Oryctolagus cuniculus: one gene and its partner. The protein of the gene in region 1 purifies or fractionates together with the protein of each later gene. This does not show direct contact. Links are inferred from orthologs where the notes say so. Each region holds a gene or a part of one and is shown on either strand. Other genes may lie near its edges.

The links. Proteins that work in one complex are often made in the same cells at the same time.
Region 2: the proteins of CD81 (region 1) and IGSF8 purify together in Homo sapiens (co-immunoprecipitation; 3 studies listed by BioGRID and IntAct, with this or other methods). This does not show direct contact. The link is inferred for Oryctolagus cuniculus from reciprocal best matches to the Homo sapiens genes CD81 and IGSF8.

Annotation. Positions count from the first base shown.
Region 1 is NC_091432.1:1,172,515-1,176,822, reverse strand, and holds the start of CD81 (CD81 antigen), read left to right. Parts: upstream 1-1,496; 5' UTR 1,497-1,723; coding exon 1,724-1,789; intron 1,790-3,008; exon of another isoform or gene 3,009-3,268; intron 3,269-4,308. UniProt on the Homo sapiens protein: Structural component of specialized membrane microdomains known as tetraspanin-enriched microdomains (TERMs), which act as platforms for receptor clustering and signaling.
Region 2 is NC_091438.1:38,828,299-38,832,472, forward strand, and holds the end of IGSF8 (immunoglobulin superfamily member 8), read left to right. Parts: intron 1-61; coding exon 62-439; intron 440-1,008; coding exon 1,009-1,470; intron 1,471-1,811; coding exon 1,812-2,219; intron 2,220-2,377; coding exon 2,378-2,791; intron 2,792-3,072; coding exon 3,073-3,188; 3' UTR 3,189-3,203; intron 3,204-3,391; 3' UTR 3,392-3,665; downstream 3,666-4,174. UniProt on the Homo sapiens protein: Member of the immunoglobulin superfamily (IgSF) that links tetraspanin-enriched microdomains to the actin cytoskeleton and plays several important roles in innate and adaptive immunity.

The DNA of each region.
Region 1 (4,308 bases):
CACGTGCCCTGTCCTCACTGCCCTGGGCCCCCAGCACACATGAGGTCAAGGGCATGGGACACCCACCAGGCCCCTGAGGTGTCCCCCACCAGCCTACGGAGCCGGGGTTCCACTGTCGGCAGCCACCGGGCCCAGCTACACCCCCAGGCCACCCCACCCCACCGTGACCAAAACGGAGCACCAGCCCATCTGGGCGTCAGGCTCTCATCCCTGCTCGGCTCCGTCGGCCACTGCAGCCTCACCCATCTACCTGCAAGGCTCCTCTCCCCTGTCAGCCCCTCCCCCCATCAAGCATCCCGGCCTGGGCTCCTGGGTGGGGCAGCACCTGTCTCAGGCCCTCCAGGGGAGGGGTCCTGGCTGCCCCCCCAGCCAGCACCTGGCCCAGCTCCTGCCACACAAAGGGGCCAGGAAATGTGAGACGCGTGACCAAGCCAAGGACAGGACAGGACAGGGCGGCCGGGTGACCGGCCTCGGACCGAGGGCTCCGCCTGGCAGGAAGCGTTCCTGGCACCGGGGACAGCGGGGAGCTCACCAGACGCCGGCTCTTCTGGCCCCTCCCACCCACAAAGGCCTCTCGGAGACCAGACGTCCAGCGGGACCTTGTGCCTGCAGCTCACACGTTGGCGTGGGACACAACCACGAGCACCCACCGGCCAGCAGGAAAACCATGGGAGGAGTCAGCCCGGGGAGGACACACCCACGCAGACAGCCCCCAGCCACCATCTGCACGGGGCAGGGGCAGGACTCAGACCGGCCCCACCTGGGTCCGGGCGAGCGCCTGCCCAGGACGCAGCCTCGGGTGCACGTGGGCCTGCATGACCTGCTTGGGGCCGATGAGGAGGGGCCGATGAGGGGCCAGCGCTGGCTGGGGCCTGGGGCCTGGGAGAAAGCACCCCTCGCTGTCCCATCAGTCCCCACTGCCTCACCAGACCCCAGCTGCGAGGGCAGGGCCGGGGAGTGGCAGGGCGGGTGGGTGCGAGCTGCCACGGTGGCTCCCGCGCTGGTCGCGCTGGTCTGGGGCCCAGCTGGTGACCTTTGCCGAGGCTGCTGGGGGCGGCAGCAACGGCTTTCCCTAGCACAGGAACTGGCTGCCGAGAATTCGGGTCCAGACCTTCAGGCCCACCCCTGGTCTGCCCTGGACAGCAAGAGGAGCAGAGCTCCGGTGCGTGCAGAGCCATCCGCCACTGCATCACCTCCACCGGGAGCCCTCGGGGATTACGACAGGCGCCTGAGCAGGGGGAAGGGGAGGTCTTGCTCCCAGACACGTGCTGCATGCCCACGCTCGGGGGACACTCGCCCGGCCAGCGGCTGGGGACGCGACGGTCTCGGGTGACCGGACCCAGGAAGCCGCAGCGCCCTCCTCCCACCCTCACCCCGCCCCCTCTCCCACCCGGCTCTGTCCCGCGGCCGGGGCTCCGGGCGCCGGGGGCGGGGCCGGGCCGGGGGCGGGGCCGCGCTGTCCTATAAGCGGCGCGGAGGGGGCGCGCGCCCGGCCAGAGAGCGAGCGCGCACAGCGGCGGCGGCGGCGGCGGCGACCCCTCCGTGCTACCGGCCAGGCCTCCCGCGCCCCGCGCCCCGCGCGTCCCGCTCGCCGCGCTCCGAGCCCGGGGCTCGCCGGCCCCCGCCGCCCTCCAGGCCCCGCGCCCGGCCCGGCCCCGCGCCCCGGCCCGCCCGCCGCCCAGGCCCGGCCCGCGCCCGCAGGCCGCCCGCCGCCCGCGCCGCCATGGGGGTGGAAGGCTGCACCAAGTGCATCAAGTACCTGCTGTTCGTCTTCAATTTCGTCTTCTGGGTGAGCAGCGGGGCGGGGGGCGGGGCGCGGCCCGCCGAGGGCAGGCGCGCAGGCCGCGCGCTAGGCCCCGCGGAGGGGGCGCGGGCGGCCGTCGAGTTGCGGAGCCACCTGTGGGCTCCGGGCGCGGGTGGGGGGCGTCCAGGGCCGCCGAAGCCCCTGGCGGCGGGCCCGGCGGCGGGGACCTCTGCGTGTCGGGGCCCAGCCCCGCGGCCCGGCGGAGCGTCTGGGTAGGGGGCGCGGGGCTCTGTCCGCTCTGTGCCCGGGACAGGTCGGCGCGCGTGGCCCGGAGCCGCGTCCCCAGCCGCAGTGCCCGGGACCACCCGGCGTGGCGCGGGCGGAGGGGCTTGCCCCGCCCCCATGAGCTCATCGGGGCCACCGCCCCGGAATGGGCCGCGAGGGGAGGGGGCGCACGCTCTGGGCCGGCGCCTGGGGCCCTTCTTCCGCGCCGCGCCCTGAGGGCAAGTCGCCCTCTGGTCCCTGGGGGCAGCGCACCGGGGTTCCTGGGGGCCCAGCGCCCCTCTTCGCTGGCGCTGCGCGTCCGGTCCCGCCTGGCCCCGGGGGGCTGTGGACGCTCGGGGCGGGGAGGGCCCGCGTTGGGGCGGAGGGCGGCACGGGTGCGGGCTGGGGCTCCCCGCTCTGCAGGGAGGGGTCGGCGCGGGCTGGTCCTGGGGGAACTTTCTTGGCTGCCGGGGAGGCGGCCCGTGATGTTTTCGCCTTTTGTTTCCATTTCCTGTCGGCCCTGGAATTGGGGGTGGGGGGTGGAGAGGCCGAGCGCGGTGGGGGGGGGCCAGACGGCCGGCCCCTGCCCCTGCCCCTGCCCCTGCCCCCCGGGTCTGGCCCTTCCTGCAGGGCACTGGGCGCCGTCCTGGCAGGCTCCGCACTCCCCAAGTTGAGGCAGGAGGGTCAACTTTTAGCGCGGGCCCCGGGACATCTGCTTCGCATCTGGACAGCTGCCGGGCCAGCGAGGACCTCGGGCAGGGAGAACAGAGACAGGGCTGCCGGCTCCGGGGACACTGCGCTCCCGCGTGGGGTGGCGGTGAGGCCATCTGGCCGGCCCAGCCTGGCCCTGGGGCCTTGGCCAAAGAGGAGGTGGCATCTGTGTGGGTCAGTGTTTGCCTGCCAGGGCCCAGACGCGTAGGAGGTGACGGGCACAGGGGGCGTCCCTCTGCTGGCCCGGGGAGGGGGGTGACGGGATGGGGGCGGGGCCTCCTCCTGGAGATGTTTGTGCCTTGGGCTGTGCAGCAGTGCCAGCAGCTGGGAGATCTCCGGGGGCGCGCCCCCCAGGGAGCTGGGCCGCTTCCCGGTTGGTGGAGGCTGGAGCACACCCCCCGGGGCGCTGGTTCCGAGGCCCCTCCCGCCCGGCCTGTCCCGGGGGCCCCCACCGGCCTGTCCCCGGGGCCCCCACCCGGCTCCCTGCACTGCAGAGCCCCCTCTGAGCGGGGTCTTCGTGGACTTCCTGGTGGCTGGCAGGCTGCTCGTGTGAGTGAGGGGCTTGGCGCAGGGACGGCTCCGGAAAAGGAGGCTGGGCATGGCAGCCGCCGTGAAGCTCGGCCAAGGAGAGCCGGGCCGGGCCTGGCCCAGGAGGAAATGCCTGGGCGCGGGGGTGCCCGCCCCACGGGGCCTGTTGTGGATGGAGGGCCCTGGGGGCTTGCGGGGGTGTGGCGGGACAGGTGGGCACTGCACGTCTGGATGGGCGCTTTGTAAGATGTTTATTGGGAAGTCAAAGAGGCAGAGAGAGACGCCCGTCCTCTGATTCGCTCCTCAGACGCCTGCAGGGGTCACGCCAGGCTGAAGCTGGGGAAGCCCAGTCCAGGGCCCCGCACCTGCTGCCCTCCCAGGGTGCAGCTCGGCAGGCAGCTGGAGCCGGCTCTCAACCCAGGGCTCCCACATGGGCTGCGGGCGCCCCGGGCGGCATTGTCAGCCTTGTGCCAGGTGCCGGCCCCTGCGTGGGGCACTTTTTAAAAGTCCCATTTCAGGAGCCGCCTCGAGGGGGGAGGCAGCCGTGGGAGCCTGGCAGCCCCGGGGAGGAAGGTGTCCCACAGGTGCTCGTCTTCCTCCCATCGCTGGCCATGTGCAGTGAGGCGTCCTGGCCAGCGAGGTCGTGGGCTCCCCGGCGGCCCGAGCAGAGAGCACCGTGCGGATGCCCTTGGGCTGGGTCCCGGAGCTCCTGGGATGGGGCAGGGGTGCGTAGAGCTGGCCTGCACGGCAGGTGTGACGGTGGCCAGGTGTCCTGAGAGGTACAGCCGGTGGCTGCCTTCCAGTGGCAGATGAAGCCCTGGGAACAGGCGCTCGATTTACTTCTGCCAGATGGCACGTGACCGTCCGTCACCCCGCCAGCGCATCTGCTCCCTGCCTCGGACGGCGACCCCAGCAGGCTGTGTCGGGGGGACTCGGCACGGGGGCGACTGGACTCCCCCAGTGCCCCCACACCGACCCCACGCCGGGGAGACAGCCATTCGGCCCGGCCTGCAGAGGAGAGAGTGCATGGTTGCGCCTGCGTTGGGTCCTCAGCCGGGGAG
Region 2 (4,174 bases), on another chromosome or scaffold:
GTGGTAGCTGGGGACATGGAATGGGGACCCAGGCTTCCCAACTCCTTGTGCTTTCCCATAGGAGTCGGATGCGGTGCCCGGGAGGTGCTGGTCCCCGAGGGGCCCCTGTACCGCGTGGCTGGCACGGCTGTCTCCATCTCCTGCAATGTGAGTGGCTATGAGGGCCCTGCCCAGCAGGACTTCGAGTGGTTCCTGTACAGACCTGAGGCCCCAGATGCTGCCCTGGGCATTGTCAGTACCAGGGATACCCGGTTCTCCTACGCCATCTTCGGGCCCCGTGTGGCTGCCGGTGAAGTGCAGGTGCAGCGTCTCCAGGGTGATGCTGTGCTGCTCAAGATCGCGCGCCTGCAGGCCCAGGACGCAGGGATTTACGAGTGCTACACACCTTCCACTGATACCCGCTACCTGGGCAGCTACAGCGGCAAGGTGGAGCTTCGAGGTACAGGGCCCTGGGATGGGGCAGAAAGTCAGGGCCAGGTGGGACCTATCTAACGCAGAGAGGCTAAGTGACTCACAAAGTCACCCGTGGTGGCTGGGGTGGGACTCAAACCCAGATTCCTTCATTGCAGTCCACTGCTCTCCTAGCAAACTCCCTCATGGGAGAAGGGCAAGTGTGTCTAAGCTGTGCTGTCTACTCTCCGCTCCCCAGTAGGGCGGGGCAGCCTGAGGGGCTGAGTGGGCTGTACTCCTGAGAGTCCAGAGGTGGGGTAGGACTTAGACCAGCTGACATTCTTGCCCTTGTACACTTGTTGGTGTTTTCTCAGTATTTCAATGTGGGGTTGCTCTGGAACATAACGGTGAGTAGGCAATGGGCTGGTTCTACCAAATTCAGCAAGTGTTTATTGAGCTGCCGTGGTGTGCCCAGTGCCATGCTTGGCACCACTGAGTTACAGAAGAACTAACACAACATGCAGTCTCTGCTCTCCAGGGGCTCGCGCTGGTCTGCTTAGGGAAACAGGACAAGAGCTGCCAGCTCCCGGCCCTCCCTCACTCCTTCTCCCCTCTCAGTTCTTCCAGATATGCTACAGGTGTCTGCTGCACCGCCGGGGCCCCGAGGCCGCCAGGCCCCAGCCTCCCCTCCACGCCTGACAGTGCACGAGGGCCAGGAGCTGGCCCTGGGCTGCCTGGCGCGGACGAGCACACAGAAGCACACACACCTGGCCGTGTCCTTTGGACGAGCCGTGCCCGAGGCGCCCGTGGGGCGAGCGACTCTGCAGGAAGTGGTGGGACTTCGTTCCGACCTGGCCGTGGAGGCCGGGGCTCCCTATGCTGAGCGGCTGGCTGCAGGGGAGCTGCGGCTGGGCAAGGAGGGGAGCGATCGGTACCGCATGGTGGTGGGGGGCGCGCAGGCCGAGGACGCGGGCACCTACCACTGCACTGCCGCGGAGTGGATTCAGGATCCTGATGGCAGCTGGGCCCAGATCGCGGAGAAGAGGGCTGTCCTGGCCCAGGTGGACGTGCAGACGCTGTGTGAGTGCCCACACCCCCACCCTGGAGCTCCAAGGCCCGCTGTCCTCTCTCCCAGTGGACTCCAAGCCACCTCTGACTTCAGGGAACTCATTTTCCAAAGAGCGGGTGACCCTGTCAGCTTCGTTTCCCTCTCCACCTGTGACAGCTTTTCTCTGCCCAGGTGTTAGGGGAGGAGATAGCAGGGCCATGGCTGGGGATGAGCATCCTGTCCCTGGGCGCAGGAGATGGTGACACCCAGTGAGGGGCAGACAGGAGGCCTCCAAATTGCTGCCGTCGGGGAAGGAACCACAGTTGTGGAGTCGGGTGCCACTGTGACATTCTTCTCCCCTCCCGTGTTTCAGCCAGCCAACTGGCAGTGACCGTGGGGCCTGGAGAGCGTCGCATCGGCCCAGGGGAGCCCTTGGAGCTGCTGTGCAACGTGTCCGGGGCACTGCCCCCACCAGGCCGTCATGCTGCGTACTCCGTGGGCTGGGAGATGGCACCTGCAGGGGCACCGGGGCCTGGCCGCCTGGTAGCCCAGCTGGACACAGAGGGCGTGGGCAGCCTGGGCCCTGGCTACGAGGGCCGGCACATTGCCATGGAGAAGGTGGCGTCCAGGACCTATCGGCTACGGCTAGAGGCTGCCAGGCCTGCTGATGCAGGCACCTACCGCTGCCTCGCCAAAGCCTATGTTCGAGGCTCTGGGACCCGGCTTCGTGAGGCAGCCAGTGCTCGCTCCCGGCCTCTCCCTGTGCATGTGCGGGAGGAAGGTGAGGGGCTCATAGAACCTTCTGTTTCCATGCCCTCTCCTTGTTCATCGGCCTCATGCTCCTCTTCCACTGTAATTATGGGGATACCCTGAGTTTCCTGGGACCTAACCCCCTGTCCCTGCCCCTCCGCCCTCTGATTCCTGTCCTCTGTTTTGCAGGTGTGGTGCTGGAGGCCGTGGCATGGCTGGCAGGGGGCACAGTGTACAGGGGGGAGACTGCCTCCCTGTTGTGCAACATCTCTGTGCGGGGCGGCCCCCCAGGGCTGCGGCTGGCTGCCAGCTGGTGGGTGGAGCGACCAGAGGAGGGGGAACTGAGCTCTTCCCCTGCCCAGCTGGTGGGCGGCGTGGGCCAGGACGGGGTGGCAGAGCTGGGGGTCCGGCCCGGAGGAGGCCCTGTCAGCGTGGAGCTGGTGGGGCCCCGAAGCCATCGGCTGAGACTGCACAGCTTGGGGCCCGAGGATGAGGGCGTGTACCACTGCGCCCCCAGTGCCTGGGTGCAGCATGCAGACTACAGCTGGTACCAGGCTGGCAGTGCCCGCTCCGGGCCCGTCACAGTCTACCCCTACACGCATGGTGAGTGGGCCCCACCCTCCAGCCCCTGCCTCATTGTCCCTTTCCTGCCTCTGAGCCTCCTGCCGCCATCCTCTCTCTCTCCTCCATGTAGCCTGCTGAAAGGTCTCGGGAACCCAGTGTTTGCCCCTTGCGCCCACCTGTACCCACGTCCTCATATGCGGAGAGGGCAGCAGTGGGCGGGGGAGGGACCGTGTGCACAGGGGAGCTGGGGGATGAGCGTGACGGTCGGGGGTGGGAGACGAGGGCACCCCCTCTGAACTGAACCACCCTCTCTCACCCAGCCCTAGACACCCTGTTAGTGCCCATGCTGGTGGGAACAGGGGTAGCTCTAGTGACTGGCGCCATCGTCCTTGGCACCATCACCTGCTGTTTCATGAAGAGGCTGCGGAAGCGGTGATCCCTCACTCCCCAGGTGAGGGGGAAAAACAGCCCCCACCCCATCTTGTCTTCCTTAGGACTCCTGCCCACAAGTCCTAAGCTGAACTACTCCCTCCCCACCTGGGGGAAGAGGAGGCTGCTCAGCTCTGCAGCATCCCGTTAGGGAGGGAGGCCCGCCGGCCCAGGGCTCTCTGACCTCAGCCCCCTCCACGCTTTCTCCAGTTCTTGCAGGTGTTGACTGTCTTCTGGCCCAGCTCCAAGCCCTCTGTCTGGTTGCCTGGACACCCTCGCCCGCTGCCCCCCTCCCTGTTAATTTATTTGACCTACTCTCCCAACCCAGAGTGGGAGACATGGCCCCTACTTCCCACTCCTCACCTCCCAAACGCCTCCCTCTGGCTGCCTGTTCTTGATCTCATACCTGCCCCCTGGGGAGGCCATTCCCTGTCCCAGTCCCAGAATTAGTTTTTCTAAAATGTGAATAAACTGTTTTATACAACCCAGGCCTGGCTGTGTCTTCCCCCAGCATGAGGCTGTAGGAGGCTGGGGCGGGGTGGGGTGGGGTGGTAGGCAGGTTGGGGCCTGACAGCCTATTCTGGACAACCCAGGCTTCTCTCCCCACCACAGACACCATCTGGCCTCTGTGGGCTGTGCCGCCCACTCCAGGAGGGGACACCTGGGTCCCATCTGTTGCCGGAATTGTCAGTGTCGAGCCAACTCCTCACTGGGCTTCTGCTTGGGAGAGAGTATGGAAAGGGAGGGGGAGTTCTGGCTGAGCTTTAGCCCTGCCCTCGCCATCCACCCATGTTAGAGGGCAAGGGCTTCCGGGGGGCGGGGCCTTTCCTGAGCTCCCCAGACTCCTCCACTCCCCTCTGCCAGGCTCATTCTCCTGGTCAGGCTAGTCTTAGACCTGACTCCTCCCAGCAGCCCCTGGGGCATCTTTTTCCTCCTGACCTTAATTATCCTGTCTGGCAGCAGGACAATAGGAGCCCAGAGCGCAGCCACCTG